Linked DNA regions of Struthio camelus. The protein of the gene in region 1 interacts with the protein of each later gene in a biochemical or structural test. Links are inferred from orthologs where the notes say so. Each region holds a gene or a part of one and is shown in the gene's direction. Other genes may lie near its edges. The genes, in order: perilipin-3-like and M6PR.

What was found.
Region 2: the proteins of perilipin-3-like (region 1) and M6PR form a complex in vitro, tested with the Homo sapiens proteins (2 studies listed by BioGRID). The link is inferred for Struthio camelus from reciprocal best matches to the Homo sapiens genes PLIN3 and M6PR.

What each region holds. Positions count from the first base shown.
Region 1 is NC_090967.1:4,503,841-4,515,832, reverse strand, and holds perilipin-3-like, read left to right. Parts: upstream 1-7,376; 5' UTR 7,377-7,466; intron 7,467-7,474; exon of another isoform or gene 7,475-7,602; intron 7,603-7,814; 5' UTR 7,815-7,821; coding exon 7,822-7,872; intron 7,873-8,206; coding exon 8,207-8,402; intron 8,403-8,567; coding exon 8,568-8,650; intron 8,651-8,731; coding exon 8,732-9,029; intron 9,030-9,236; coding exon 9,237-9,427; intron 9,428-9,519; coding exon 9,520-9,642; intron 9,643-9,722; coding exon 9,723-10,070; 3' UTR 10,071-10,623; downstream 10,624-11,992. Other genes in the region: perilipin-5-like, read left to right, coding at 394-453, 555-753, 1,571-1,653, 1,805-2,057, 2,624-3,594. UniProt on the Homo sapiens protein: Structural component of lipid droplets, which is required for the formation and maintenance of lipid storage droplets. Required for the transport of mannose 6-phosphate receptors (MPR) from endosomes to the trans-Golgi network.
Region 2 is NC_090942.1:89,012,683-89,024,838, reverse strand, and holds the start of M6PR (cation-dependent mannose-6-phosphate receptor), read left to right. Parts: upstream 1-6,620; 5' UTR 6,621-6,884; intron 6,885-8,422; 5' UTR 8,423-8,423; coding exon 8,424-8,596; intron 8,597-8,806; coding exon 8,807-8,979; intron 8,980-9,083; coding exon 9,084-9,193; intron 9,194-9,383; coding exon 9,384-9,514; intron 9,515-10,055; coding exon 10,056-10,182; intron 10,183-10,783; coding exon 10,784-10,906; 3' UTR 10,907-12,156. Other genes in the region: KLRG1 (killer cell lectin-like receptor subfamily G member 1), read right to left, coding at 2,774-2,891. UniProt on the Homo sapiens protein: Transport of phosphorylated lysosomal enzymes from the Golgi complex and the cell surface to lysosomes.

The sequences.
Region 1 (11,992 bases):
TCCAGCCCAGCTTCCTGCTGAATCACTCGAAAACTTTCGCCAGCCCCACGGCAGGGCCCCGGGGGGGGGGGGGGGCACACAGAGGCAGCCCCTGCCCAAACCGCCTTCCCCAGAGCCCAGGCGCTGCCCCCTCGAGCGGCAAGGAGGCCTCCAGCCTCGAGAGTGCGTCCACTCGTGTCACGAGCTGGTGGGTCTCAGCCGTCGGCAGAACCCGGGGCGAATCCGCGCGCCCGGCTGCCCAGCTCCTCTTTTCCTCGATGGCGAGCGCCCGCCTGGCACCGACGCTGGGGGTGGTAGTGGGGCTGGGGGGGGGGGGGGGGGACAGGCAGAGCTGTCGCGCGTACCCGGCGCGGCCATCGGTATCTTCCTCTCCCGGCTGCAGGCGCCGTCACCATGTGCGCCGAAAACACCGCCAGGCAGGCCGCCCCGGCGGACCACGGGCGGGAGGAGAAGGTGAGCAGCGGGGAGGGCAGGGGACGGCCCGGCGCAGCGGGCCGGGGGCGGGTTGGGGGGGGGGGGACATGCCACCGCTCAGCCCCGTGCACCCCGGCTAGAGGAGCGCGGCCAGCCGGGTGGCCAGCCTGCCCTTGGTGAGCTCCGCCTGCGCCGCCGCCGCCGCGGCCTACGCCCGCGCCGAGCAGAGGCACCCGTACGTCGGGGCGCTGTGCGCCGCCGCCGCCAAAGGCGCCAGGACCCTGACGGCGGCCGCCGCCACCGGCGCCCGGCCCGTCCTCGCCAAGCTGGAGCCGCGGAGTGAGTGGGGCCAGGGGGGAGGTTGGGGACCGGGGGGGGGGTACCGGGGGCCGGGTGGGTTCGGGTAACCGGGTGCTGCGGGCCGGTTCCCACCGAGCGGGCAGGGTGGCCGGCTCTGCACGGGGTGGGGGGGCTCCGCTTGGGTGCCGTGGGTTACCCTTGAGAGCGGGTGCTGAGCCCAGCCCCGGGCTACCCCAGGGCACACGCGTGCTTCGCATGCCAGAGCCTCGAAACCAGAGCCCTCGGCGGGGACCCGCTCCCCGGAGCACGTGCCCCGTCCCGGCGCGGCCAGCTAAAGTCTCCCTGTGCCCTTGAGGACACTGGGACGGTGCCAAACCCGCCCGCGTGGCCCTTTCGCCCAGCTCGGTGACACCGCGGTGGCTCCGGGGGCCGTGCTGGGCAGGGGGCCCATCCCCGCAGCCCCTGGCCTCATCCCCGGGACGGCTGCCTGGGCTCGGCCCCAGAGCCCTGGATGTGGGGGTGCTGGGGTGGGGGGGTCACTACCAGTCCCCGAAGCCCCACGGAGGGACCGTGAGCGTGGCGGTGCCCGGAGGGACGGCGATCTCGGGGAAAGGCTCGACTCTGGGCTTATCCCAGCGGCGAAGGTGCGACGGAGACCAACATCCTCCTCCTGCTCTGTCCCCGCCGGTCCAGTCCTACCGGTTTATTCCCATTTCCTGGAACTGGGGACGGTTCGGAGGGGAGGGCTGGAGGGGAAAGGGGCAGCCGGGCTGCTGCGCGTCCCCCGGCTCGCTGCCGTCCCAGCAGCAGCGCGCCGGCGGCCGGCCGAGGCTGCATCTCTCTCTCGCCCTGCCAGTCGCAACGGCCAACAGATTCGCCTGCAAGGGGCTGGATAAACTGGAGGAGAAACTGCCCATCCTGCAGCAGCCCTCGGAAAAGGTAAATCCCCACCGGCAGAGCGGGGGGAGAGGGTGTCCCAGCCCCGGGCGAGCTACCGGGAAAAGCCGTCCTCGAGCCGCAGCGCCGCGTGGGGACGGGATGCTGGGGCCGGCCGCCGTGCTACCCTCAGCCCGTGCCGTCCCCGCGCCAGGTGGTGGCGGAGACCAGGATGCTGGTGTCGTCGGCCGTGACGGGCGCCAGGGAAGCGGCGAGCGGCGTGGTGGGCACGGCCCGGGGCGCCGTGCAGGGCGGCGTGGAGAGGACCCGCGCGGCGCTGAGCGCCGGCGTCGGCACCGTCGTGGGCTCGCCAGTGGGCAGGATGGTGGTGACGGGAGTGGAGACGGTGCTGGGCAAGTCGGAGGAGCTGCTGGATCGCTACCTGCCCATGACGGACGAGGAGCTGGGTGAGTGCCTTTCCCGGCCGCTTCTCCCTCCTCCGGAGGTGCCAAAGCCGCCGGGACCCCCTTCCCTTCCGGTTTCGTGCTGGGGGGCGCAGGGCCTGGCGCGGTGGCCCCGGGCAGGAGAGGGGCCGGTCCCCGCTCAGCTGCTCCGAGGGGAACCTGAAGCCGGGGAACGCGGAGCAGCAGCGGTTTGAACTCTCACCTGGAAACCCAAGAGCAAATATAGCCTTGATGCCGCCATCCCACCCCGCCGCCGGGTATTTATAGCACGGGCACGGGGCTAGCAGGGGGGCACGGCTGGTTCCGGCTCGGAGCAGAGGTGACCGCGGGGGCCGTCCGGCTGCTTTCCAGCGGCGACGCCTCCGCACGGCCGGCCGGGTGCGAACCGGCGGGTGCAAACCGGGGCCGTGCTGCCGGAGCGAGGGAGGACGGCGTGCCGCCGGCTCCCGAGCCGGGGAGCGGTGGGGTGGGGGGGCCGCTTTCCTGCGGGATGCTCCTTAGCCGGCTCCCAGGTACCCAGCGTGGCAGAGCCCGGGCTCGCCGCCCTGATGCTTCTGCCCCCCCCGCAGCCAAGCTGACCGCGGCCGTGCAGGGCTTCGAGACGGCCCCGGCGGAGCGGCGGCAGAGCTACGCGGCGCGCCTCGGCTCGCTCTCGGCCAAGCTGCAGCACCGAGCCCTGCAGCACTCGCTGGGCGGGCTGCGGAGCGCCCGCCGCTCGCTGGCCCGGCTCCAGCACATCCGCCAGCTGGTAAGACGGCGGCCGGCCCCACGGCGTGCCCCGCTCACCCCGGGGGTGCTCCCATTCCCCCCCTTTCTCCCCCCCCCATCCTTTCCAGGTCGCACGCGTGAAGCAGGGCACGGAGGGGAGGCTGCGGGGTGCCCGCCGGTACCTGCGCCGCTTGTGGCTGCAGCCGGACCCGAGCGAGGCCGCGGCGGACGCGCGGGTAGCGCCGGCAGGCAGCCGGCGACGGCGAAGCGTCTCGGCCGCCGGCGTTTCCCGGCTCGCTGCCTCGCAGGTGGAGGCGGGCGCGCTGCTGTGGCTCGCGCGCTGGCTGCGGGCGGTCTGCGCCCGGGCCACGGCGGGCCGCGTGCGGGAGGCGCAGGCCACCGTCTCCCGCACCCGCTCCTTCCACGACCTGTCGGACCTGGTGGTGGCGCAGAGCCGCCGGCGGATGACGCAGGCCCAGGTGACCATCGACGAGCTGCTCGACTACGTGGCGCAGCACGCGCCCCTGCCCTGGCTCGTGGGTCCCTTCGCCCCCGTCCTCGTCGAGTACCCCGAGGACAGCCTCGTGGACATGGCCAAGTGGGACGGCTGCCTGGCCATCGGTGGCAGCCACCGGGCGCCCGGCTCGCCGCGTCTCTGCAGCGAGCTCTGAGCGACGGCGGCCGGCCAGGGGCTCGCCCGCTCCCCGGGTGCGGGGACGAGCTGCCGAAACGCCCGCTTGGCACGGCAAAACTAGTCCCCGCAGCGCGATGGACTTTGGGAGCCGGTGCGGGCTCCCTCCGCGCCTGGCGCCTCGCTCGGGGACGGAGGTGACGGTGGGCTGAGAACGAAGCGCGGGTCCAGCCCTGCTCCTCGTCCGCTTTGGGGTCTCGGTCCCCCCCGCGGTGTCCCCGAGCCTGGGGAGCATCAGGATTTCTAGTCTCACCAGCTCGAAAGCACTTTAAAGAAATAAAGGAACCCTTTAAGCCTTAAAACGGCTCCTGTCCTGTGATGCCGAGCGCTGCGGAGGCGGGCTGGGTGCGGGACTGGCTGGGCCAGGTTTGGGACCCCCGAAAGCCTTGGTCTGTGGCAGCTGTGGTGCTCGGGGAGGGCCAAGGGTCGCCCCGGGGAGGCTTTCGCTCCCCGGAGGAGGAGGAGAAGCAGCAGGGCGAGGTGAGAGTTGGGTGCCCGGGGCCCGCCGGACTGTGAACCGGGGCCGTGTGGCACCGAACTTCGCTCCGGGTTATCGTCACCGCCGCTTCCCGCGCTGTCACGCGGCCCCCGCGGCTCTGCCCCGCTCGGCCTCAGCATCGCCAGCCCCAGCAGGCCGTCGTCTGGCCTGCGTGTCCCCGTGCTGGGGGGCCCTGGTGTCCCCCCCCGTGCAGTGGGGGCTGGCGGGACCCCATCTTCGCAGGCAGTGGGCTTGACCCCTTCCCGTTTAACCCTCAGCCTCCCACACTGGGGGCTCAGTGAGCTGGGGAGGGGGGATCCGGGGGTGCCGTCCAGAAGGGTGATTGGTCTGGGCAGGGTGGGTGCTGTCCACCCCGGGGGGATCCAGTCTGGCGGGGTCCGGAGGGGGATCCAGCCCCCGGGGGTCGGTGCCACGCAGCCCGGGGGGGGGTCCGGAGGGGGATCCAGTCCCGGGGGTCAGCACCGCGCAGCCCGGTGGGGGGTCTGGAGGGGGATCCTGCCCCGGGGGTCAGCACCGCGCAGCCCGGTGGGGGGTCCGGAGGGGGATCCAGTCCCAGGGGTCAGCGCCATCCAGCCCGCGGGGGTCCGGAGGGGGATCCAGCCCCGGGGGTTGGCGCCGCGCAGCCCGGCGGGGGGTCCGGAGGGGGATCCAGCCCCGGGGGTCGGCACCGTCCAGCCCACGGGGGGTCCGGAGGGGGATCCAGCCCCGGGGGTCAGCGCCGCGCAGCCCGGTGGGGGGTCTGGAGGGGGATCCAGCCCCAGGGGTCAGCGCCGCGCAGCCCACGGGGGGTCCGGAGGGGGATCCAGCCCCGGGGGTCGGCACCGTCCAGCCCGCGGGGGTCCGGAGGGGGATCCAGTCCCGGGGGTCGGCACCGTCCAGCCCGGGGGGGTCCGGAGGGGGATCCAGCCCCGGGGGTCGGCGCCGCGCAGCCCGGCGGGGGGTCCGGAGGGGGATCCAGCCCCGGGGGTCGGCGCCGCGCAGCCCGGCGGGGGGTCCGGAGGGGGATCCAGCCCCGGGGGTCGGCACCGTCCAGCCCGCGGGGGTCCGGAGGGGGATCCAGCCCCGGGGGTCGGCACCGTCCAGCCCACGGGGGGTCCGGAGGGGGATCCAGTCCCGGGGGTCGGCGCCGCGCAGCCCGGCGGGGGGTCCGGAGGGGGATCCAGCCCCGGGGGTCGGCGCCGTCCAGCCCGCGGGGGTCCGGAGGGGGATCCAGCCCCGGGGGTCGGCACCGTCCAGCCCGCGGGGGGTCCGGAGGGGGATCCAGCCCCGGGGGTCGGCACCGTCCAGCCCGCGGGGGGTCCGGAGGGGGATCCAGTCCTGGGGGTCGGCGCCGCGCAGCCCGGGGGGGTCTGGAGGGGGATCCTGCCCCGGGGGTCGGCGCCGCGCAGCCCACGGGGGGTCCGGAGGGGGATCCAGCCCCGGGGGTCGGCACCGTCCAGCCCGCGGGGGTCCGGAGGGGGATCCAGCCCCGGGGGTCGGCACCGTCCAGCCCGCGGGGGGTCCGGAGGGGGATCCAGTCCCGGGGGTCTGCGCCGCGCAGCCCACGGGGGGTCCGGAGGGGGATCCAGCCCCGGGGGTCGGCACCGTCCAGCCCGCGGGGGTCCGGAGGGGGATCCAGCCCCGGGGGTCGGCACCGTCCAGCCCGCGGGGGGTCCGGAGGGGGATCCAGCCCCGGGGGTCGGCACCGTCCAGCCCGGGGGGGTCTGGAGGGGGATCCAGCCCCGGGGGTCGGCGCCGCGCAGCCCACGGGGGGTCCGGAGGGGGATCCAGCCCCGGGGGTCGGCGCCGCGCAGCCCGGCGGGGGGTCCGGAGGGGGATCCAGCCCCGGGGGTCGGCACCGTCCAGCCCACGGGGGGTCCGGAGGGGGATCCAGTCCCGGGGGTCGGCGCCGCGCAGCCCGGCGGGGGGTCCGGAGGGGGATCCAGTCCCGGGGGTTGGCACCGTCCAGCCCGCGGGGGTCCGGAGGGGGATCCAGCCCCCGGGGGTCGGCACCGTCCAGCCCGCGGGGGTCCGGAGGGGGATCCAGCCCCCGGGGGTCGGCACCGTCCAGCCCGCGGGGGGTCCGGAGGGGGATCCAGTCCCGGGGGTCGGCGCCGCGCAGCCCGGGGGGGTCTGGAGGGGGATCCAGTCCCGGGGGTCGGCGCCGCGCAGCCCACGGGGGGTCCGGAGGGGGATCCAGCCCCGGGGGTCGGCACCGTCCAGCCCGCGGGGGTCCGGAGGGGGATCCAGCCCCGGGGGTCGGCACCGTCCAGCCCGCGGGGGGTCCGGAGGGGGATCCAGCCCCGGGGGTCGGCGCCGCGCAGCCCGGCGGGGGGTCCGGAGGGGGATCCAGCCCCGGGGGTCGGCGCCGCCCTGCCCGACGGGGGGTCCGGAGGGGGATCCAGTCCCGGGGGTCGGCGCCGCGCAGCCCGGCGGGGGTCTGGAGGGGGATCCAGCCCCGGGGGTCGGCGCCGCGCAGCCCACGGGGGGTCCGGAGGGGGATCCAGCCCCGGGGGTCGGCGCCGCGCAGCCCGGCGGGGGGTCCGGAGGGGGATCCTGCCCCGGGGGTCGGCGCCGCCCTGCCCGGGGGGGGGTCCGGAGGGGGATCCAGCCCCCGGGGGTCAGCGCCGCGCAGCCCGCGGGGGGTCCGGAGGGGGATCCTGCCCCGGGGGTCGGCACCGAGCAGCCCACGGGGGGTCCGGAGGGGGATCCAGCCCCGGGGGTTGGCGCCGCGCAGCCCACGGGGGGTCCGGAGGGGGATCCAGCCCCGGGGGTCGGCACCGTCCAGCCCGCGGGGGTCCGGAGGGGGATCCAGCCCCGGGGGTCGGCACCGCGCAGCCCGGGGGGGTCTGGAGGGGGATCCAGCCCCGGGGGTCGGCGCCGCGCAGCCCGGCGGGGGGTCCGGAGGGGGATCCAGCCCCGGGGGTCGGCGCCGTCCAGCCCGGCGGGGGGTCCGGAGGGGGATCCAGCCCCGGGGGTCGGCGCCGTCCAGCCCGGCGGGGGGTCCGGAGGGGGATCCAGCCCCGGGGGTCGGCACCGTCCAGCCCGCGGGGGTCCGGAGGGGGATCCAGTCCCGGGGGTCGGCACCGTCCAGCCCGGGGGGGTCCGGAGGGGGATCCAGCCCCGGGGGTCGGCGCCGCGCAGCCCGCGGGGGGTCCGGAGGGGGATCCAGCCCCGGGGGTCGGCGCCGCCCTGCCCGGCGGGGGGTCCGGAGGGGGATCCAGCCCCGGGGGTCGGCGCCGCCCTGCCCGACGGGGGGTCCGGAGGGGGATCCAGTCCCGGGGGTCGGCGCCGCGCAGCCCGCGGGGGGTCCGGAGGGGGATCCAGCTCCGGGGGTCGGCGCCGTCCAGCCCGGCGGGGGGTCCGGAGGGGGATCCAGCCCCGGGAGTCGGCGCCGGGGGGAGCCGGGGCGGGGCCGGGGGTCGCTGCGCCCCGGGCCGGCCCCGGCAGGGCGGGCCGCGCTCCCCCGCGGCGGGGCCGGGCTCCGCGGCTATAAAGGCCCGGGGGGAGCGGCCGAGCCTGCAGCGCCGAGGAGGTGAGTGCGGCCGGGCCGGGCCTTGCAGCGCTGCCAGCCGGGAGGGCCCGGGGGTCCCGGTCCCGGCCCCGGTCCCGGTCCCGGGGGCGCCGCGCTCGGGGGCGGATTTTGGGCAGCGGCCGCCGCGCCGTGGCGGGTTGGGGGCGGACCGGGATCGCTGTTTTTCCCCTGTCCCCGGGGGAGGGGGGGGGGTCCAGGGGGGTTTGGAGGACCCGGGAGGAGCTGGGAGCACCCTGCCCGGGGGGTGCCCCGTCCTGAGGGTGGGAGATGTGGGGGAACTGGGATCCCCCCTGTCCGGGGGTGACCGGGTGATCCGGTTGCTGAGCCCCGCTCTCCGTTTCCTCCCAGCCCCGCCATGGCCACCAGCGACCCCAGCACGGCGCACCCCAAGGCTGAGGAGCAGCAGGTCGGTAGGGTTGGGGTGGGATGGGGGGGGTCTGCGTGGCCCCTGCCTGGGGACAGGGCTCAGGTTACTGCCCTGGGTCACTCTGTCCCTGGGTGGGCTCTGCCGGAGACACCGTGCTGCCAGGGTTGGTGTGACCATGTCCTGGTCCAGGACAGGCTGGGGGGACTCAGGTCTCCTCGGTGGGGAGGGTGGTGGGATAGGGGACCCCAGTGATTGTGGTGGGGGGGGGATGCCCCTAGCCCTGCTTTCTCTGGGGGTGGGGGGGGGTCTGCTTGGCATGTGGGTTCGGGGCTTTGTCAGACTCTGCCCTCACCGGTGCCCTCCCCACACCCAGAGCATCGGGACCCGGGTGGCCAGCCTGCCCCTGGTGAGCTCTGCCTACGACATGGTGTCCACGGCCTACGCCTCCACCAAGGAGAGCCACCCCTACGTCAAGTCGGTGTGCGACGTCGCCGAGAAGGGCGTGAAGACCCTGACGGCGGCGGCCGTCAGCGGGGCCCAGCCCATCCTCACCAAGCTGGAGCCGCAGAGTGAGTGGGGTCGGGAGCAGCTGCGGTGCCCTGGAGGGTCTCCAGCCCCGTCGCCCTGCCCGCTCGGGGCTCGCCGCCTGAGCAGCGAGTGCTGGGGTGCCCAGAAAACTGGCACTAGCAGGAAACTTTGGCAGGTAGTTAAGAGAGTGCTTTCCTTGTCTCTAGTTTCCACGGCCAACGAATACGCCTGCAAGGGGCTGGATAAACTGGAGGAGAAGCTGCCCATCCTGCAGCAGCCCACGGAAAAGGTAACGCTGTGCTTCAGTCCCGGCGAGCAGGCTCATGTCTGCCCTGTAGTTGCCTAACGGAGGGTATTCGCTTCTCTCTAGCTCATCTCGGACACAAAGCAGCTGGTGACTTCCACTGTGACGGGGGCCAAGGATGTTCTCACCAGCACCATGGCTGGGGCCAAGGATGCGGTGACCAGCCGGGTAACGGGTGTGATGGATATGACCAAAGGGGCCGTGCAGGGCAGCATGGAGCTGACCAAGTCTGCGGTGACCAGCGGCGTCAACACGGTCATGGGCTCGACTGTGGGCCAGATGGTGGTGAGCGGGGTGGGCTCTGTGCTGGAGAAGTCGGAGGAGCTGGTGGATCACTACCTGCCCATGACGGACGAGGAGCTGGGTAAGGAGCTGGCAGCAACTCCCTGGAGACATGGGGGAGGATCAGGAGCCCCTTGGCCCAGTGGGTAGAGCCTGGAAGGGGTTGGTGGGCTCTGTGTGGGCACCCTGGGGTGAGCAGGGCCATGTGCAAGTGCCCAAACCAGGAGATGCCCTGCATGGGGTTGGTGGTCTTTCAGGACCCCTCACAGCCTTGGCTTGTCTCTTCCAGCCAAGCTGGCCACAGCAGTGGAAGGCTTTGAAACGGACCAGCAGAAGCAGCAGCAGAGCTACTTTGTGCACCTGGGCTCGCTCTCCACCAAGCTGCGGCACCGTGCCCTCCAGCACTCGCTGGGCAAGCTGCAGAGCGCCCGCCAGAGCAGCCAGGACGTGCTGGCCCAGCTCCAGCGCACCCTGGACCTGGTAGGACCTGGCCCCCCTGGCTCCATCAGCCAGGGGCTGTTGTCGGGGCCTGGCAACAGGCCACCCATGCCAGCCTGTCCCTTCCCTTCCAGGTGGAGCACCTCAAGCAGGGCATGGACCAGAAGCTGCAGGGAGGCCAGGAGAAGCTGCAGCAGATGTGGCTGGAGTGGAGCAAGAAGCAGCCAGGAGGTGGCAAGGACCTGGTGCAACCGGAGGTAGGTGGAGGTGGATGGTGGAGTCTCCAGGGCCCCCTCAGGCTGCCCAGGTGGCTCATCCTCCCCTTGTCCCCTTGCAGCAGGTGGAGTCAGGCACCCTGGCTGTGCTGCATGGCTTGACGCAGCAGCTCCAGAGCACGTGCCAGCCCCTGGTGTCCAGCCTGCAGGGCCTCCCAGCTGGCATCCAGGACAAGGCGGGCCAGGTCCGGCAGAACGTCGAGGAGCTCCGGGCCGCCCTCGCCAACGTCGCCTCCTTCCAGGATGTGACGGGTAGCGTGCTGGCCCAGGCCCGGAGTCGTGCAGCCAAGGCCCGCGAGCTCATGGATGAGCTGGTGGAGCACGTGGCCCACAACACCACCCTGTCCTGGCTCGTGGGGCCCTTCGCCCCCTCGGGCCAGCGCCTGGTGGATATGGAGATATCCAAGTAGCAGCTGCTGCCTCCGGGCCGGGATTATATCTGCCCTGACCCAGGCCTAGCTAGGAGCACCTCAACTAACACTCCAGCCTAGCCCAACTAACCATCTTAGCTCTGTAATCCTCTGCTCTGGGGGCGTCTGTACTGGCTGCAGGAGCCTCCCCGGGCAGGGGCCACTGTCTAGTCTGTCCCAAGTGCAGCTTGGTCCCCTGTACCCTGTCCTTGGGCTAGGGCTGTACTAGCAAAGTGCCTTGGTGTCTTCAAGTGCCTATGGGACCCTTGGGTGACTTTCCCTAGTCCCCCTCTGTTCGGCCTGAGCTGCCCCCCGGCTCCATCATCCCTCTCTCCCTCAGTGCCTAGAGCCCTCGGTGCCTTCAAGCCCCCAGTTTTGCCCCCTGCGTCTGGGTGCTGGTTTGACCTCGGGTGCCCAGGCTGGTTGTGAGACCTGGTGCTCCCGGCTGGGGCCAGGGTTTGAGCCCAGCCCTGGGAGCGGGAGCCCGTGCGGACTCTGCACCCTGAGGACTGCTCGCAAAGCAATAAAGTCTGGTTGGTTTTTTTGCACCGGATCTGAGGCCTCATGTGTGAGCAGGTTGGGATGGTGGGAACTGTGGCCCAGGCCCCGTGGGGCTGAGCACCCGGCCTTGGTGTCCCCCCCAGCTTCTGGGGCTAGAGGAGCTGTTGGAAGGGGGCATGATGTCATAGCCCTGCTGTGACCTCAGAAGGAGGGTGCTGTGCTAATGGAGTCAGCAGAGGGGCTGGTCCTGGTGCTGAGCCCTCACCTGGGCTGCTGGCTTTGCCACCTGCCCCTGAGCAGCCCCCATGGCTGAGGGTGAGCATGGGGTGGTCCCCATGCCCCTGGGGCACAGCTTGGACCCCAGGGGGGCCCCTCGGGGTGCCTCTGGCCCAGGGGGTCTGTGCTGGGCCAGGGGAGCGGGGGGCAGCCCTGGTTCCCTGCATCTCAGGGCTGTCACCCTGCTCTGCCTCCCCAGAGCTGGATGTCACCCAGCCTGGTGGTGACAATGGCCCCGAAGCACCGTCGGCCAGCCTGGGGCCAGCCCTGCCCGAGAGCTGGGAGCAGCAGGTTGGCGTCGGGGGCCGAGCGCCTGGGCTGGGGGGGGACCGTCCGCGGCCCTGCTCAGCTCTGCTGCTGCTCAGTTTGCAGTGAACAGGGTGGTCAGCGCGCCCGGCGTCCCCCCCACCTCCGGCCCGTCCCGCAGCCAGCCCCCGCGCGCCCCCTCGCAGCCGGCCCCCGAGGCCAGCGCAGACCCCGGCCGCCCAGCGAGCCGGGTTTGGCGTGAGTAGGGCTGTGGAGCGCGGCGGGGGAGATGCCAGCCCTGTGCCCCCCGTGGGGGACTCGCAGCCCCCCACCCCTGCTCAGCATCCCTGTCCCCCCCCTGCAGCCGCAGCAGCCCAGGACCCCGCGGAAGAGGCCACCCTGCAGCCACGCCAGCAGGTGCCCGATCCCCGGGGGTTGCACTTGGGGAGGGGGGACAAACTCCCCCAAGTGCTGGTTTTTTTTGGGGGGGGGGAGATGAGCATCCAGCAGGAGCCCGGAGGGAGCCCCTAGGTGCACCCCTGCCTCGCCGCAGGCAGGGCACGGTGCCTGGCAGCCCCACTATGCGCCTAGGCTGCGGGAAGGCCCACCGAGCCCATGGCCACCCTGCTCCAGCAGCCGGGCGCCCCGCAGGATGCCCTCAGCCTCCCCGCCGTGCTGGGCACCGCGGCCGGGCGGCTCTTCCTGCGCAGCATGGACCGGGTGCTGGAGAAGTCCGAGGAGTGGTTCAACTGCTACCTGCCCCTGGGCGAGCAGCAGGCGGGTAAGAGCCCCTGGGATGCTGCTGGGGGGTCCCTGTGTCCCTCTCTGCATTGAGATGCTGCTCTGGGTTGGGGGGGTCCCCATGGACCATACCAGGATGTTGCTCAGGGTCAGGGGTC
Region 2 (12,156 bases), on another chromosome or scaffold:
GTGGAGCTGCTTCTCTGCAGATTAAAACTGAAAACTGAGGAAAAGGGGATAAATATCTGTTGAAACATAATTCTTTTTTCTGAGATCACATGTCTGAGCAACTGAGCACTCACACTTCTGTTTTCCTTCCTCTCTTGCATCTCAAAGAGGATGTCTCCTGCACCCTCCAGATCACTGTTACTAATTTTACGGAAAACGACTTCCGGGACAAGGTTACTGGAACAACAGTCAGCGAAACAGTTAATCTTTAAATGTCAGCACAGGTATCTGAGCTGGCACCTACCAGCAAAGAATAGAGCAGTTCATCCTCTGTTGTCTCAAACCAAATGCAGAAAAAAGGGAACTAACTTGAACAAGTGAATAGGCATCAAACCACAATTCCAGTGCATCTTCACAACCAGAACAGCAGGAGAGTTCCCTTTTTTTTTAATGAAAAAATATGCACTTAGATAATTTTTGAAGGAAAAAAAACAGTATGAAACTGAAGAGAGCAAGTCATATTGAAGCTTTCAAGATGAATTTGAGCCTTGCTTGAATGGCAGTGCTCAACCCAGGGAAGTGGAATAAAACATTTGATAAAATAGCATTTGTCCCTGCAGCATTTGTCCGTGCAGTTCCCCTTTTTAAAATAGACTCAAGAATCTGTGCTTGACCCTCAAGTCACTGGAGTATCATGTTAAGCTCCTTCCGGGAAAGGGAGGGAGAAGTAGCCAAGATGAGTCTGAAATAGAGGGGGAAAGTCTGAGCAGAACATCTAGAAATATTTTCATACAGTTGTCTGGGATACTGTGGAAAAATCTCCCCAAGGTAAGAGAGAGGTGGTCTGATTTGATATTTAGTGTCAAAATCCAATGTTATAATTTTCCTATATAAAAAATACAAAGTTAGGTCTGTTAGAGCTCTGGAAAGCTAACTGTGATAAACTGCATTCATCCATAACACAATAGAGTATTTTTAGGGTTGAGAGTCCAGATTCAGTTCAGAAACTGAAAATTGTCATCATTTAATAATTCAAGTCTTCAAGGACAATCAGAAGAATGCCATTGCACTGTCCCAGATAGATACCCTCAGCTCTTTTCTACGTCAGTATGGGAGCAGCATGACTACACAGGGCAAGGGAGGAGGATCTGAGGGACAAGACCTGTCCCTAGCTATGGCACAGGCCAGGTTACTTGCTGTTACATGCTGCACTGGTGAACACTCTCAAGTGACTACTTGAGTGGTATGTTGGTAGCGTGGAATATTTCAGGCTCTCTGGCAGCCAGAGAGAACACAGCTGGTGCAACTATTCATGTTAGTGGAGTCCATGTGAGCCAGAACCAGTTGTTTTGACCCTGTTATACTGGGTCACAAGTGTGATTCAGTAGTAAGGGTGTGCATTTGAAAGCAGAGATGATATACGTGGAAATGCATCTCTCAAGAGAGGCTGCGGGGGGAGGCAGCACGCAGAGAGAGTTGAAAGTCAAAGTCTTGCTAAAAAAAGGTACTTAAGCTGTGCTCAGAGCGACAGTTCTTGGCAGGCAGAAGGGAGCTGGAAAATAATTAAATGATATGCACAGAAATGTGTGTTCAAAGACTAGCTTCCTCTTTTCAGGCCCTCTGGTTTTATCTCAAAAGGAACAGTTTGCTTTGGCAATTTGGAGAAGAGGAACATTAACAAGAAAACTGCAAACATCTCAACAGGGGATCCTGGAATACCCACCTCCCATTGGATGGGATGAGCACAAGCGGTGAGGAATGAAGGGATGTGTCTGCATTTTCTGACACATCTGAAAACATGTCTAAAAGCAAGATCGTCTTCCAAGTAAGTTCACTGTGGCTAGCAGATAAGAACTTTGGGAGTTCTGTGCCAGCATTGCTTCTATAGCTCAGTAAGCAATGGGGCAGCACTAACAACTGCAGATATGTACAGTTACTCTGAACAGGACGCAGAAATCTCCTGTCCCAGAGTGAGAGCCCTGGTTGCTATAACAGCTCTAAAAAAAGTTATGAACAGCCAGTAGTGTTGCAGCCAACACAAAGCCCTTCACCTAAAGCATATGCGCATTTAGAGGAAAAGCAATCAGCTCATGGGCAGAAGACATTTATAATGAAAGGTCACCACTGCAAAATCTCACTATTCAAAGGCACAAATAAGAGGCCAGAGAAATTGTTCAGTATGACACTTGCAGGGTTTAAATAGGGGGAATGAAATGAAAACTAGGAAAGAGAAAATTTAAGGCAAGTACTAAAAAATTGTTCCTGATAGTAAGCTGTCCTGTAGAACTGTCTCAGAGGAAGGCTGAAAGTTTGCTCACTGGAAGTATATAAAATTGAGCAAAGAAAGCACAGAAAAAAGGCATCTCAGAACAAACCTGCAGAGCCCCCATAGGAGAGAGAATGGATGATCGCATAAGTCCCTTCTGTCTCTGATCTCTGATTAGCATACGCCTTTATCTGTAGCTCCATCTCACCCATCTTTCAAAGAACTATTACTGACAAGCAGACAACTTTAAAAAGTATAAATCTCTTTTGGCAAAAGGAGTGCCTGAATTGAGTGCCCAATAGGAGACATTGAAAGGAGTCTGATGGAGAGAGGGAAGGGAAAAGTGCTGGGTCTTTGGCCCGTTGGCTTTTGTCACAGGAGAACACTCAGACAATTTTTAAATCAAAGCTACAGCACCCTGAGCTGGTTATTCAAAATCTGTGGCCACTTCAGAGTGTATTTGCTAGATCTTGTGGAAATACCATGAAATAAAATCCTTTGTTCACCTACCTCATCTAGCTTCCTTACCTGTCCTTTCCCATCTTGCTTTGGCCTGCAGTGGAGGAGTCTGAGAGAACTTGAGAGATGTATAGATTATTTCCTCACTTGTTCCTGCTGCAGAAGTTTCTGACCTGCTTTCCTCCATGCCAAAACAAAGAGTGCGTATAACAAGATGTTTCGATCAGGCTGTTGAGCGACGGGGTTCAACGTCTGTGAAACAGGAAACCTGAGGCTGCATTCAGAAGACAAGAAATGTGAAGTTGCAACCTCTGTCTCCAGCTGTGCAAAATGAGCAACTTCACACCAGAATGGAGAGCACTGGAGGCGCAACAACTTCCATTTCCTAATCTGCTGAGGGGTGATATAAAGCAGTAGCTAGGGGAAGAGGTGATTAATCTCAACGTTCCTGGGTTTTCTAACTGTTGTCAACACAAGAGGCTTTGATTACATTGTGGTAGTAACTGCGTAAACATGGGCAGCTCTGAAGAGCTCCCTCTCAGGATAAGGTATTAAGCAGGTGGATAGGGACAGTACAAGGTAAATAGCACCAGTGGGATAAGCAATGGCTACACCAGACTAGGAAGTCCTACTGTTGTCAAAAGCTTTAGAGTGAAGTAGAGGTGCACATCATGGTTTTGAGAAGGAAGCCTGTGAGCTTTGGACGCTTTTACTGGGAACTCTTTCTACACCCAACACCAAGTATGAAGGTGCTTGGGACACAGGCAGACACCGAGAGTTAGCATCCCTCAAGACCTTCCGAGTCAGTATCTCAGCAGCATCAGAGATAACAGGCAGACACCGAGAGTTAGCATCCCTCAAGACCTTCCGAGTCAGTATCTCAGCAGCATCAGAGATAACAGGGTATTTTTCTGCTGTAGTGGCAAAGATTGATCACTGGAGGAATGGTGGGGAGTACTGATGCTTCTAGCACACGGAGAAACCCCTTAACTGCATGGCTGCCTGATTTTCCTTTTGGGTTTGGATTCTGATCCCCTCCAGTTCCTGCTCAATTGGAAGATGTTTGATAGGTTTGGGGGATACACCTTCCTCACTCGTACAGTTCACTTAGTGAATTGTCTGGGCATTTTCACCAAAGGACTTTGTCATGTTTTTCAGTTCCAGAACAGGAATGTTTTCTTTCTGTCCTCGTGGCACACTGTAAATTTGAGGAGTGGTTGTGGGGGAGGGTATACAGCTTGATATAGAGTGCTGTGGACAATTTGCAACATGTGCATGTCCAGGAAGATAGGGAGTGGCTATTCCTGCAAACTCTTTCATCACACGCTTGCCTCTAAGGGTGGCACATTGCATCTATGAGATTCCTTCCAATCTTGTGTTTCTATGTAGGGCCTTTAGATGGGAAGACAGGGGGTCTGTACCTGAGGGGAAAGGGAAGTTAGACGAGAACAAAGAAACACAAGAGGAGGGAAGCCTCCTTCGAGTGCTCTGAATGGATATTAGGGGAATCTAAAGAGAGTTGTCAAGCCCTCAGAGGAAGAACTTGCCATAGTCATGATGAAAGCTTAGCTGGGAATGTAATTTGTGTGGCTGGAAAGAAGCTGACAAGATTTAGAAGCTGCTTAAACGCCCAGACCAAGGGAAAAAGGCTGCAATCAAAGCTGAACCACTGGCTGGCTGCAGGGCCTGCATGTTAAGGAGGATGGTGTTGTTGTTTGTGAACAAGCAGAGAAGTGAAGGCTGGTGTGGAAGAATTAAGAGCTCTGTTTTGATGGGTTTTACCTTATTCTCTCAAGTATCAGTGATAAGTTGAATTCTTAGTTTGAATAGGGAATAGTGAAGTGATCCCCCCATTGGAGGGTATTCAGGCAACACACAGTTAATATCTAATTGTGAATATAAATAAATCTGACTTCTGTTACTAAGATGTCTGTGCTATACTCCCAGTGGAATCAGCAAAAGGACACAAATCACAGCAGGACTAAAATGATCAGTTTGCTAGGAGCCAACAATGTTCCTTCCCACTACTATCAAGAAGCATAGCTTAGGAAAGTCTCTCAAACTCCTCACAAACAAGTGGCTTCTCTAGCATGCTTACAGACTCACCAAACCCAGGATTATTTTCCTATTAAGAGGTGAAGCAAGCCTGAGAGTTCTCACAAAGAAATTCTGTCATTTGTCCCCATCCCTTCTAATAACACAGCCCTGGAAACTAGACTCTTTTATCATAGCAGTGCGAGGATGACTCAAAAAGAGGTGTCTTTTAGATGGGCCAATCTCAGATCATTTATAGCCTTATAAATCATATTCACGACATTCAAGTCCATCAAGTTTGTGCATGATCAGCTGGGACCTGGATCTCATCTGTGGTGGAAAAACTTGCAACAGCTGTTGGAGACACCTTTAATCAAAAATATAATAAAATAGCATGCCAGGCAGAAACAAAATCAGAAGAAGCAAGGCCACAAAATGATCTTATGAATGACAGTATCCCTTGCCAGTTAAACAAGAAATCATTTTGGAAGTACATAACTGGGATGTCATAATTCAAGGAAAGTGATGGTCTATTACCATCAGTAGAGGGGGTGGGGGGGAAAGGTAAGCTATGGCTAGATGATACTGTGTAGTGTTTTTTCTTTATGCTTATCTGCTTCTAGTTGATCTGAACCTGTACTGAGGACAAGGGTAAGATTTCAGCTTTAAAGAGGTAAAGTTAGAAAGTATTAAATGAGATGTTTTCATCTTGATACCTGGTGTGCTTCAGCCTGCAGGACTGGCTTTGACTCTGAGCTCTATAGTGACTCTTAGAGTGCCCGTGGAGGGGGAGCAAAGAATACTAAAGGCAATATAGTACTTGCTTTTAAAAAGACACAGGAAAAAAAGATGAATCCCAGAAAAGTACAGGAGCAAGCAAGGAGCAAACATCTGGAATAAAAAGGTAACAATGGAGATGAATTTGCCAGGAATGAGTTATGTTAAACCAATCTAATCTTAGCTAATCTGTTTCTCTTCTGCTTCAGAGTAACTGTGATCTTGTAGGCAGAGAAGCAGCAGAAAATCTTACGGATTTTGATTTTACCAAGGTTTTTAATGCTGTCTCGCATCCTGTTCTCACTAACATGCTCTACAATAAACTACAATGAAGGTGCAAAACCGTCTAGAAAACCGTACCTCAGAGAGCGGCTGTTAACAGTTCGCTGTCAACAGTGGAGAGACGTACTGAGTGAGATGTGACCAATACCAATTAGTATCTCTATTAAGGATGTGAATGATGGGGGGAAAAGTACAATTACTAAACTGATGACAAGCGACACCAACTTGGGAGGGCTGCAAGCACACAGGAGGGCACATGTTGACCAGGTGAGCCAACGGGAAAATAAAAGCGACACCATTCACGTCAGACCTGCGCACGGCTCCGGGTGCAGATAACACACCCACTGAGACAGGGGCGCGGCGCCCCAACCGCCGCCCGGCGTCCCAACGGCCTCCACGTGCCGTGCGCAGCCACACTACAGCCCCCAACAGGCACCGTGACGGCGCCACGGAGAGAGACGCAGCAAGAACCTCCCCGCTATTGGGCGAGAGGCTCCCGCCTATAGCCGCGCTTCTCAGTGACTATTGGGTGAGAGGGGCTAGTGGGCGGGCACTGTAGGTCCTTGCTGACGGTCCTCATGGCTCATTGGAGAAGATTAAATTGCAAGTGGGGGAGGTCTGCACGCCTCTTTCACCTCCCGTTGGACGGGGATAGGGGCGAAGGCGGGCTCCAGCGGGGCCACTTTATTGGTTGGAGGGGAGCTCTAGAACCCGCCTCTTTCCATCCCCACTCCTCATTCGGCGAAGACTCGCCAGTGGGCGTGGAAATCTCGGCGGCTCCCGAGTTCTTATTGGGGGAAAGCGTTAAGTTCCCTTTTACCCTTCCTGCTTCCGGTCTGGGGGGGTGGGCGAGGGGAGCCGGCCGGCCGGCTGGCCGGGAAAGCGGAAGGCGGTGGAGGCTCATCTCCGTCCCTTTCCCGCGCCAGCGGTCCCCCGGGAGGCCCCCGCCGCCGGGTGCGCCCGTAGCATGGGCTGCTCATGAGCTTTGACTGACTGCTCTGAGGGGGGGGGGGGGTCACGTCTGCCTGCCGGGCGGGCGGACGGGGCGAGGCGAGGCCGCGCTTCGGGGGGGCCGTCGCGGCACCAGGTGGGTCGCGCGGGGCGGGCCCACCCCTCCCCGAGCACTGAGCGCGGCCCGCGGCGGTTCGTGAGACGGTTGGCGCCGGCCGCGGCCGGCGGGGCGGGGAGCCGCAGCGGGGACGGTGCTCCGGGACGCGCCTTCCGCGCCCTCCCGCGAGCCTCGGCGGCCGCAGGGAAATGAGAGGCGCGGGGACTAGGAGGGGGTGTGGAAATCGCTTCGGGCTCCTTGGGCCGCCATGGGGTGAGACCATTCCCTGCCCCGAGCCCCTCTGCATGGCGCTGCGCCACAAGCAGACGGCTCTGTTTCAGCAGCGGGCAATGGTCTGTGTAAAGGTAGTCGCACTGAAATCTGCTCGCCTGAGTGATCCCAGGCGAGGGCCCGACAATAGTATTGTGTTATCGCTTTGTTCCTCGGCAAGTACCTGAATTAAATGTTTGCAAGCAGGTTGTCCAGAGAAGTCTTCTCTGGTACTAAGAGAAGACAGCTTCTCCTTGCTGTCTTGTGAGAGGCAGATCATGAGTTCCTGAGTCACAGACTTCCCCAATTAAGTTTATCTTACCTCTTTATATTTACATCTGTGGTGATTAAAATGATGGCTTAATAGTTGTAACTTCTCATGATGGACTCTGTTGGGGTGAGAGGTAATACTTTCAGCAAAACAGGCTGTCTGCCTATCCATGGTCATATGCTTATTAAATTGTTAACCTGTTAGCTCCCATCAGCATCTGGAACTCTGCTGAAGTCTGTGATGGCAGAAGCAGAGGGTAGTCTGTTGTGCAACTGCAGCTGGGGGGGGGGGGAGCATGAATACTGAATGGTTCATGTGTGATTATAGCATAAGCCTGAAAGCCAAAGCTTCCAGGTTTCATTCGTGTTCTTGCTACTGCCCCTTCTGTTTATCTTAGGTAGGTGGTCTCATTTTCTTTCTTCCCCCATGTAGATGGTAGAAAACTGTTCTTGGAAGCTGCAGCTTAGTACTACTAGATGCTTTCAGATTCTCAGCTAAAGTAGTTAAAGAAGGATATGTAATAATCATTTGGTTATTAGGATTAAGGAGCTTGAACAGACAGAGCCTGACTAATAATAGTTTCTCTACCTACAAGCTCTTTACACAAGACCTGCCGAGACAGTTGATTAGAGAGCTAGTAAATCATTTTATGCTAACTGGCTTCTCAGTGGGATGCAATAATAAACAATGGCTTATGCCTGGAACTTATTCTGGCATCCAGTCTAGAGCTTACTGGACCCTGCTTTGGCTGAATCAATGCTCATTAATGAGCTCAGTGGCAAAACTTTGTGGTCCCAAGACAAAACTTGGAGAAGAAGCCTAAAGACCTGCTGTATTAGTGAATTGTCTTTGACCATGTCAAACTCTTGAGGGTTAGTGTCTCTTGGGAACTTTGAGATGTTTCTAGGTTTTGACTTATCCTTTTTGCGGTCCGGAATGAGTAGGTGGCCAATCGCCACCTTTTTGACTTTTGAGTTAGTTTGCTGGTGATTAAATGATTAATCCCTTGTGTTCTGTGTGGTTGGCATGTATCCAGGATGTCATCACCTCAGCATACCTCTGGTCTGCTGGTAGTTCTTATGGCCCTTGTTGTCAGTGTGTGGGCTGAAGAGGTGAAAGAGAAGAGCTGTGATGTGATTGGTGATGAGAGCAGCGAATCGCAAATGGAAAAAGCCCTGCTGAAGAAACTAGAACCTCTGAGCCAAATGAGGTACAGTGCAAGCATATATCAACTCACTGTAGGTCTTGGGGCTGTACATCTCCCTTAGGTCAGGGAGACTGAAAATTTTGAGGCCAGACTGTAGAGTGGACTCCCCGTGACATGAGCTGTGGCTGGCTCTCAGGGTCTTGAATGACTGCTTTCAGCCCTATTCTTTGTAATTGTATAGGCTATTTGTTCTCTGCCCTCTCTTTGCTGCAGGTTTAACAAGACTGTGGAGCTAGGCACAACAGAAAATTACACCTATCACTTCAGGGTGTGCAGGGAGGTCGACAGCTCCTTGCATGATTTTGCTGGCCTAGTACAAATTGATAGAAAGACTGGAAAGACTACAGTGGTAGGAAGAATCAATGAAACCCAGGTCTTCAATGGAAGTAAGGTTCCAGTCGATAACTTGGCTTACTCAATGTCTGCCTTTTGCCTTCTGGTCTGGATCTATAGCCACCCCCCCCCTTTTTTTTTCCCCCCCCTTTGGTAGGTGACTGGATCATGCTAATTTATAAAGGGGGTGACTCATATGGTAGACACTGCAGTGGCGAGAAGAGAAGAGCTGTGATAATGATTTCTTGCAAGCAGGGGATTACAGCGGTAAGTGACACATGAGGTGGGAGAGGTTATGAAACAGTTGGTTAACACCAGAAAGTTGTGGAGGCAGTAAGGTTTTCTTCTGTCCTCCAATATCCATTGCATAGCTGCACCAACAATGATAGAACTGCCTTTTTGTAAAGTTCGGCATGCCTCAGCATATTTTCACATGACTTGACTTTTCCCAAATCAGAGTTCATTCAACATTATTTCGGAAGAGCGAGAAAAGGAGCAGGAGTGTTTCTACCTCTTTGAGATGGACAGCAGTGTGGCCTGCCCAGCTGAGGATTCCCACCTGAGCGTTGGCTCCATTCTGCTAATCATGTGAGTAATTGGAAGAACTGTTTGTTCCTAAGCCAAAATCTGCAATGCCATTTAGAAACAGCAAATGCTTTACTAGACCAGATAATTGTAGTACAGCTGTCTGCAGCCACTGTTAAATGCTGCTGTGTCTCTGAGCCTTTGGACAAAAGTCGTTGCTTAAAGCATGATGGTGTAGAGGTGCTCTGCCCCCTATAGACATCCTCCTTCCTAGTTTACAGACAAGCATACTGAAACATGAAAGGTATGACCTCCTAAAGTTGTACCACAGCTCTTTGCCAGAGCTGGGAATTCAGGCTAGGAGTCTTGACTCTTCGTTTTTTGTGTTTGTGCTTAGAGGCACTACTTCCTGTGATGCTGCTGAAAGATTTATACTTGCAGATCGATATTTTTGGGTACCTTTCCTGGCCTGGTCTCTGTTTATCGCTCTTTTCTTAAATTGGTACTGCAGTAAGTAACCGAACACTATTTAAGGCAGGTAGCTGGCTAGGGGGAGGTTGTCTGTAGAATTTTCTCAGCTCTGACTTTAAATTCTGTCTTCCAGTTTTGCTTCACTAATTGCATTCTACATCATCGGTGGGTTCCTCTACCAGCGCCTAGTGGTAGGAGCTAAGGGCATGGAGCAGTTTCCTCACTTTGCCTTCTGGCAGGATCTGGGCAATTTGGTGGCGGTGAGTGAGAAATCTTTGTATATTCCCAGCCTGGACCATGTGTTAGTATATGAGAGAAAAGGCAGTTGGGACTTGCCTTGTCTTCATGGACTACGTCTGGGAAATCAACCACAGAGTACCCTGAGGCAGAAGACAGCATGTATCTTATCTTGTAGAGTTCTTGCTTGTTGAATGTTAGAGTCTGGTTCCCCCCTGTGATGTTGATATCCTGTGATTACTACATGGCTAGAGCACATCTCATTAGTGGCTAACCATTCTCAGGTAGGAATGGTAAGCTGAGGACTGAAGTGTTCATGTCTGGTTCCCTGAAACCCTTCCTTGCTCACTTTAGTCTGTTGTTTATCATTCACTCTTGTCTCAGTATGATGTTGCTGCATACTGTTAATCAGTACCACAGTCTACGCTAGAGCTGACCAGCCTTCAAGACTGTGTAGCATCTATGTACACATGCTCCCCCTACCAAGACAAGTTTTTCGGATCTGTCCCAGATAGCTTGAGGATAGGCATAATCCCTTGACAAAAGAGAAGTCACAGAAGCTGCTTTGCTCTGGTGTTAATTGCATATAGTCTGATTCCAGTGTTGTAAAACCTTTGTTTGTAGGATGGCTGTGACTTTGTGTGCCGATCTAAGCCTCGAAATGCACCAGCTGCATACCGTGGTGTAGGTGATGACCAGCTAGGTGAAGAGTCAGAAGAACGGGATGACCACTTGCTGCCAATGTGATAGGCTTTCAACGCTTTTTTTTTTTTTTTCTCTCACCATCTTCCTGGTGCTTGTTTAGCCAGGCACCTCCCAGACAGTTCTCCTCTCACTTTTGATTTTCTTTAAATTACTTGCTTTCGCTGTTTCTGGTGTGTCATGTTTGTGGCATCATGAAAGCCTCTGGATATGAGCACCACTGGTCCCTGAAGGCATGTCTGAGGAATATAATGCTGTTTTAGGCTTTCAAGGAATGCAGCAGAGCTGAGGGGAAAGTGTGTTGAGAGTGGAATAGGAGGCAGCAAAAATGCATATTCAGCATTCAGTATTGAGCAGGCTTGGGAGATGAATTATTGAGAAGGGCATAGATGGGTGCAAAGAGGGGGTGGGAAAGGAGACAGTGGGTTAAAACAGCGGAGATTCTAGGAGAAGCCTTTTGTGTCTCTCCTCTAAGGCTTACTAGATCTGTAAGAACACTGGCTTTATTCTTCAAATGCATTTTCAGCTTTTCTGGCTTCTGCACTGTTATGCAAGCCATTTTCTGCAAGCATAACCTGCACCGAGTGCTCTATGCCAAACTCTTTGGGGATGGAAGAGGCATTAGCACTTCTACAGTTTTTCCTTTTCCTAGTGGTAATGTGTTGAAAAGTTGAAAATCCACCAGTTTTCTTTAAGAGATGCAGAGATGTAGACCATCAATAGGTATTGTTTCAGACTGGAAAGGGACAATGCTAGAAAACTATGGGAGTCAGAATACTGTTTCATGACTTTCTTCAGTGAAAATGACATCTTGGTCTCCTCAATCACTAGGAAGCCAAAGGAAACAGTGTGCTGCTAAGGGGGTGTGTATTGAAAGTGAAACTGAAATCAGGGCAAAATGAGGAAGTTAGAGGGAACTGCAATTCGGGTTGTTAAAAGCCTTCCTGAGGTTAACTGCCCACACAGCTCGGTCACTGTCAGAATTCTGATCATATGCTTTCTGAAGTTTCATCATCTGGTAGAGGATTTTTCTGTGAAGCTACTAGATTCCCCTTTATAAAAAGGAAATACAGAAGCCAAGGATAAGCATACTAGCACATAAAAAACTGCATAAGGGACCCCTGCGCTTACAGAGTCAGCTTGGATAAACCACTGTCCCCCTAAGCATGTTTCAGGTTAATCTTACAACAGTGGCCCAGTGCAGGTGGTACTTGCATGCTGCTACTAGCTGGGAGAATGAATTTCCCCTGGGGCCAAGGCAGGTTCAGCTGAGTTGTAAGACTTAATAGGAGCCT